Canis lupus familiaris: one gene and its partner. The protein of the gene in region 1 purifies or fractionates together with the protein of each later gene. This does not show direct contact. Links are inferred from orthologs where the notes say so. Each region holds a gene or a part of one and is shown on either strand. Other genes may lie near its edges. The genes, in order: SWSAP1 and SPIDR.

Region 1 (3,803 bases):
ACTGCTTAACACATCAAATGCTTTCTCTCTCATATTTCAATGCAAACAAGTGGGCAGCCATCTCTGGGATGAGTCAGCAGCCCAGACTCTCTTGGTCTATAACTTCACCATCCCCCGGGGCCACCTTAAATGGATTCTCTGCATCTTGCCAACCAATAAGCAAAACAAATCGCAGAAGATTTGGTGGGCCATTTTAGGGACTTAGCCTAAGAAGTAGTATCTATTTCTTTTTTACAAATGCCACTGGCCAGAAATAGTCACAGGACCCCAGCTAGAACCATGGACAGCAGGGGAAAAAATGCAGTTTAGCAGTACAGCCCAGGAGAGGAAAGTCGTTGAATGAGCCTCTAGCTAGTCTCTGCCACTACGAATAACAATAATTTGTAAGGCTTTATTCTGAATCAGGCCCTGTTCTAAGAAAGTACTCTGATGGGACCAATGTCATCAGGTGGCTTCACTGGCAGTTCTGGTTTAACCACTTTTTAAAAGTTTGACATAACCAAGGAAAGATGAACACATGCAGAACTTCTCTCCCAATTCCACTTCTAGGTGTATACCCTAAAACCCCTCATACACACGAACCAGGGCATGTGTGCAAGAAAAAGTGAGAAGCCTGACCTGGGGCTCGATCCCAGGACCCAGAGATCATGACCTGACCTGAAGTCAGATGCTTCACCCACTGAACCACCCAGGTGCCCCTGAACTAATCGTAATAATAATGCTGAGTGGGAGAAGAAGTCTTAGAAGATTACATTTATCACGAAACATTTTATAAAGTTCAAAACAGCAAAACAATATGTTGATTGGGCATGATAGGTACATGGTAATGCTCTGTTTCAAGAGAAAAAGCACTGTTCTTTAGGTCTTTGAATCTGTACAAGTCCCTGAAGTAAGTATTCCAGCCATGGGCAGTTGAGGCACAAAGAGGGTGTCACACATCAAAGCTCAAGGCTGGCCTCCAGAACTTGAACCTTTGTCTGAGTTGGGGTTACCAGACTGGGTAGGCCATGGGGTGATTGTCATCTCTCCATCTGGTCGGAAAGCCACCCACCACTCTGCTCTAGGGCTCAGCCCACCTGAATCCAGGCAGGCTCGGAGGCCGCGCTGTCCTGGGCCTGGTGCATCCACCTGCAGCCAGCACTGGGCAGGGAAGTACCGCTGGAGCAGCGACAGCTGCAGGCCATCCCCACTCTCTTCCTCTTCCTGGATCTGGAGGGCCACAATGAGCCCACAGCCCTGGCCAGGCCCAGTCCGGTGGCTGAAGTGGGCAGCTGTGTCTAGAAGCAGGGCAGCCAAGTAGGCCGCTTCTTGAGAGTCTTCCACTAGGTACTCCTCCAGGCCATCCAGCAGCAGGAGGGAGGGGGCTGGGCCCAGGGCCTCATGGGCAGAGCACAGAAGCTGAAGGAGTTCATGGGTTGAGGGTGGGTACTGGAAGCGTATCTTCTAAAGTGAGTTAAAAGAGAAAACACTAGGTTCAGCTCAGGAAGCCAGGCTCCCAGCTCCAGCTGCCCCGCTTCCCTGTATTTCCTGTGCTCGGCGCTCACACCCCACCCGGGTAGCTGGTTCCAGAGTGAAGCAGCTCAGAATTGGTGGAATACTCTTCCCTTCATCCCGTCCCCCTTTTTGGGACGCTTTCCCGACCTTTTTTAATTTTCTAAAAAATATTTTATCCATTTATTTATGAGAGAGAGAGCGAGAGAGGCAGAGACACAGGCAGAGGGAGAAGCAAGCTCCATGCGGGGAGCCCGATGCGGGACCCGATCCCGCGACTCCGGGATCACCCCCCGAGCCACAGGCAGACGCTCAACGGCTGAGCCACCCAGGCGTCCCGCTTTAATTTTTTTTTTTTTTTTTTTTTTTTTTTGATGGTTTCCCAGTCTCAACAACGCCTGCTCTGGTCCCGCCCCCGCCCTCCCGTCCCGGCTCCTTCCTGACTCCGCCCCACAATGGCCGCCCCGCCTCGCTCTCCCGTCGTCCCTTCCATTGGTCTGTCTGACTGTCACTCAAGCCTTGATCCGCTCAGGTGCGAACTAGGCCGCCTCCGGTCCCACCCCTCGGTTACCTGTAGCCGCAGGGGGTCGAGCGCCGCTCCGGTCCCGCGAGGCAGGCTTTGGAGAGGCCTCCGGGTCAGGAAGAGGACGGGGCCTCGGCCCTCTCCTGCCGCTTCCAGGGCCGCCGCGAATAGCAGCGCGGTCTTTCCGGAGCCTGGGCCGCCGAGCAGCAGTAAAGGCGGCCCGGCCTCCGCTGTGTACTCCTCCCCGGACTCTGCCGAGCTGCCCTGGTTTAGCACCCGCCTCAGCGTCTCCGCCATTCGCAACGTGCCTCTGTCCGATCAACGGCCCGCCCCCGCCCTTAGTCCCGCCCAACCCGGGGTCTCATTGGTTACAATGCACTTAGCTTCTCCATTGGCTCATGGATCTGCCATCAAAGTTAGATTGGCCTGGACTAGCTTCTCCCCTCGTGAAGGGGCAAATAACAGTCCGAGGGAGGAGGAATGTTGGCATTTGAGGGAGAAAAGACCCTTCCCTTGCGCAAGTCGGCCGAGGGAGGCAGCACGACTATCATTATTGTGAACTAGTCAGCTAATCAAACAAATATAAGTGTTGGGAGTTGAAGGAAACAGGCCCTAATCAGTAACACATTACTTAAAGTCTCCTAGGCTCAGTCTGCTCATCTGTGAAATGGAGCTCCTGACATCTCAGAGGAATATTGTGATGAATGGGTCTGTGTGTGTTTCTGCTGATGTCACCTAATGACAATTGGGAAGGTGAATAATGGAGGAGCTTGTGTGCTTCCTTTTCTGCACCTTAGTATTGGCACAAGCTTGTGTTGGAGGCTGCAGGCTCAGGAACATCCTCGTGCAAAACAGCAGCAGCCACCTCTGAGGGTCTGTGAGAAGAGGAGTCTCAGCTGGCTTTCTCTTTGGCCTGGGAGCTGCTTGGGTTTTACCTGGGGCAAGGGGGTCGGGCATGACCATCAACCAAAGAAAGTGCAGGTAGACAGTCACACAGGGTGGGAGATTGAGGGACAGCCAAGGCAGAGATCTTGTCTTGTTCACTTAAGTGTTTCCATCGCCCAGAACAGCGACTAGATCGTTGTAAATTTTCAATATATGCTTGTTAAACGAATGAATGAAGAAAGGAAGTAGGACTGATGAGAAACTGGGAAAGGAGGAGGAACAAGATGAGTGGTTAAGTGATGGCTGGCTAGGTCTCCTCACCCAGACTTCGCCCTAGAGCTGCCACTCAGCCCGGTTGCTTTGGCAACTCTGTCTCCTGGTAACTTCAAAGTGGTGCTGTTGCCAGGAGACCCAGGGGCGGCGGAACTGATATTTCCTGGGCTTTCTCTCTCCCTCTGGGGCCAGAAAACAGATCTACAACATCCCCCAATACACCCACCCACACAGCCAGGCACCTCCACAGCCCTCTACACACATGCACGCGTGCTTGTGTGCACGCGCGCGCACACACACACACACCATGGCATCTCTGCATATATTCTACTTTCAGAACCCCCATCACCCACATGCTGACAGCCCTATCCTACCTTGACACAAAGCATCCCATATCCACTTCCTCCCACATTTACATCCCCACATCCTTTCCCTTGCACACAGATTAGGACACACTCTGATACAACCAAACAATTGCTATTACACACACACACACACACACACACACTTCCTTTCAGCTAATGTGCCTGCAACTCTTTCGATACACACATACACAAAGCACACTGTTACATTTCTTGTGAAACACACCACCTCAATCCCCCCACCAAGAGATGCACAACCCATGTTTCAC
Region 2 (3,063 bases), on another chromosome or scaffold:
GCTTCCAATCCACAGAGGCGCCTTCTCCTGCAGGGACTGCTCCCATGTGGTCACCTCTCCTGTCCTCAGAAGGCACCTGCAGGTGTTCCTGGACTGTCCGACTCGGCCCCAGTGCGCCGTGCGGGTCAAGGTAGGAGCGGGTGGGGGCCTGTGCGCATCCCACTCCACCTGGGGGAGCTGCTGTGCCCGGAGCCAGAGCCAGAGCCGGGAGGGTGGCCCCTCTGCCCCTTCCTGGGGCGGGGCTGGGGTGGGAAGGCCACACACACCCAACGCAGTCTTTCCACACCTGTGGCCTACGGTCACGTTTGACATGAGGCTTGGAGGTGGAAGCTGCTGAAGAGCTGAAGGTGGTTTAGGTTGAACAGCAGCCCCCAGGCGTGGGCGCAGGGCTGCCTGCGTCCTGGGAGCTTCAGCTCCCGCCCCACTGTGATTGCAGCTGTCCCAGACCAGCATTGCTTCACTCCTGAGCTTGGCCGCCTGCGAAGATGGGGTAAGTCGAGCAAGTGCAGCCCAGGGGCGCGCCCCAGTGTTCCTCAGCCCCAGGTTGGTGGATCATCTCCAGGTACAGCCGCCTGTCCCGTGAACTTTCATTTACAACAAAGGGCATGATGCAGTCGCGTGTGGGCTAAGTGTCTAGTGTACACGGCACATGCACAAGTCCTCCTGCTGTCGTTCCCTGGCAGGTACCTGTGTCTCCTCGTGAGAGCCTTTCCTTTTTGGAATTGAGGCGACTTCCTGAACAGCCTTGCACAGATGCGTGAATCTACCCCCCTGGCTTTGATGGTCGGAAGGCCAGCAGCATCTCAAGGGCTACAGTCATGATTCATGTTAATAGAACACAAATATCTGAGACACACATTCTGTGTTTTTTAATTGCTGGGTATTCCAGAGTCTGAGTAACTGGAAACTTGACCATTATTTCTCAGAACTGTTTTGCCTGCCCTGAGAGTTACTATGGTGTGAGGCTTAGTAAACTGGTGTGCTCCTCCAAGAAAACCACCACCTAAATATATATGACTTACAGTCTAGAGACAGTTTCTTCCTTGTGAAATATGCCCCTCGTAAACAAGGGAGCTCTGTCCTTGAGGTGCCACCTCTGTCTTGTCAGAACCATTTAAAAGCACCACAAGTGGCCTGTGGAATCGCTGAACCCCAGAGAAGAGCCCTGGGGCTGACCACTGGGGTGTCGCCAGGGCATAGCCCCTGGGAGCCAGGATTAGGGTGCACATACCCAAGTAGACGACGTGGGCCAGCTGGGGAGGCTGTGGTGAAGTTGCAGAGCCTTCTGATGGGTCCCCCTAGCCGCATGGCAGTCAGAACGTGAGGCTGATGTCATGCATCCTCTGGAGGCACCGGGGGCTCCCGTCTCCCTGTCTGCCGGCCCTGCTCTTAGGAAGGTTGGCAGCAGGAGGAGGCGGAGCAGCCATTTGCACTCATTCCTCAAAACCATGGCTCTCAGAGTTGGGGTTAAATTGGAATGTGGATAAATCCGTGAAGATCACTGGTCTGACTATAGTTTCCAACCTTGATTTTAGGGTGGAGCTGCCTGTGGAGTTCTAAAAAGAGTTTCTGGCTCCCTCCCTGGGAGAAAGCCCAGCAGCCAGGGCATAGCTCCCTAGAGCCCTCGGTGACTCCCCGGCCCAGCACCAAACCTGTATCTGTGGGGCCAGTTCAGTGTAGGGGCTGGTGTTCAGATCAGGCCAGAGGAGGGTTTAGGAGCCAATATGCCCTGATGGTTCACAACTAAAATATAAGCAAATCACTATAATCATGGATGGAGAACTGTGCTCAGCTCTGTTGTCACATGTTACCCAGTGATGCTCAGTCCACATTGTCCCACCAGGAAGCCTGAGCGCAGCGCTCACAGTCACAGTCTTTGTCGGGCACAGCGTCATCCACAGGTGACCACCTAACAGTAGGGGAGGTGTGACGGAGGTCCCTGTTCTTCCTCGAGCTCGTGTGTCTACTGCCTGATGAGACAGTGGTGCCTGTTGACGGTCCCTTGTCACCTCATCTCTTAGCCTTCGAGGTGGGACAGGAAGAAGAAAGAAGGGCGTGACGCCGGGTAGGGCACGGCTCCTGGATTGGAGGGGGCTTTCAACAGGTGCTAAGGATGGCAGATCCCGGTGATCGGGGAAGGTATTTCCATGGAAAAGTTGGGGGATAGTATTGGGGAAAACTCCTGCTTAAGGGGAGCACTTAGCAAATGAACCAAGTCCACAACCTAAACAGAAGAAGCCCTTGGGATGGGTGTCGCCGCCTGTAGTCCCCGCAGCAGAGGCGCGTCCTCCGGTGGCCCCGGCTGGGCCCTCGCAGGCCCCCAGAAGAGCAGCCTGGTGCTTCCTCCGGCAAGCCTCCAGCCGTTCCCTGGCCTGGGGCCCGGAGACCAAGAGGGGCCACGCAGAGATCCCCCCTCCTCGCTTGGTTGCCCTCTGCCCGAGGCTGACTTGTACCTGCCTCACAGAACATTCTTACCTCCAGTCCGCGCATCCGCTGAGCCTACTTACAAAGGGCTCACGAGGGTGTGCGTGCAGGTGTATGTGTGAGTGCGGGCGGGTTTGCCCAAAGGTGTGACCGGTGTGTGCTGTGCGTGTCCATGAGCGGGCTGAGGGGCACAGGGGGCACGTTGTGGGGTGCTCCCCCACCGGAGCTGATGCCCGTTGAGTCAGGGTAGCTGCAGGCCTGGAGGTGCTGCGGCTCGTTCCCCGGTTTGTCACAGTGGGTGATCGGGGCCCCCACCGGGCCCGCAGGGAGCTGCTGGAACGTGGGTACGGGCGGCGTGAGCATGAGTGTTCCCCCCACGATGCGGACTGTTTCCGGGCTGAGAAAGCCCATTGGCCAAAAGCCAAGGACTCGCAGGAGGCTTCCCACGAGAACGGTGGCTCTGGGCCCCAGAACAGACGTACCGTCTCTGGGCAGGACGTCCAGGGGCTGAACTTCAGTGTGCTCACGCCGCAGATCAGAGAGCAGTGGGGTTTGCTGCTGTTGGAATGTCATTTCTTAACTGTCACGGACGGTGATAGGAAATTGGGAGTTTGTTTCCTTAGCTTTCGGGGAAGAAAA

The links.
Region 2: the proteins of SWSAP1 (region 1) and SPIDR purify together in Homo sapiens (co-immunoprecipitation; 3 studies listed by BioGRID and IntAct, with this or other methods). This does not show direct contact. The link is inferred for Canis lupus familiaris from reciprocal best matches to the Homo sapiens genes SWSAP1 and SPIDR.

Annotation. Positions count from the first base shown.
Region 1 is NC_049241.1:50,348,819-50,352,621, forward strand, and holds SWSAP1 (ATPase SWSAP1), read right to left. Parts: upstream 2,358-3,803; 5' UTR 2,312-2,357; coding exon 2,063-2,311; intron 1,444-2,062; coding exon 946-1,443; 3' UTR 739-945; downstream 1-738. UniProt on the Homo sapiens protein: ATPase which is preferentially stimulated by single-stranded DNA and is involved in homologous recombination repair (HRR). Has a DNA-binding activity which is independent of its ATPase activity.
Region 2 is NC_049256.1:1,369,170-1,372,232, reverse strand, and holds part of SPIDR (DNA repair-scaffolding protein), read left to right. Parts: intron 1-15; coding exon 16-130; intron 131-436; coding exon 437-562; intron 563-683; coding exon of another isoform or gene 684-761; exon of another isoform or gene 762-1,028; intron 1,029-3,063. UniProt on the Homo sapiens protein: Plays a role in DNA double-strand break (DBS) repair via homologous recombination (HR).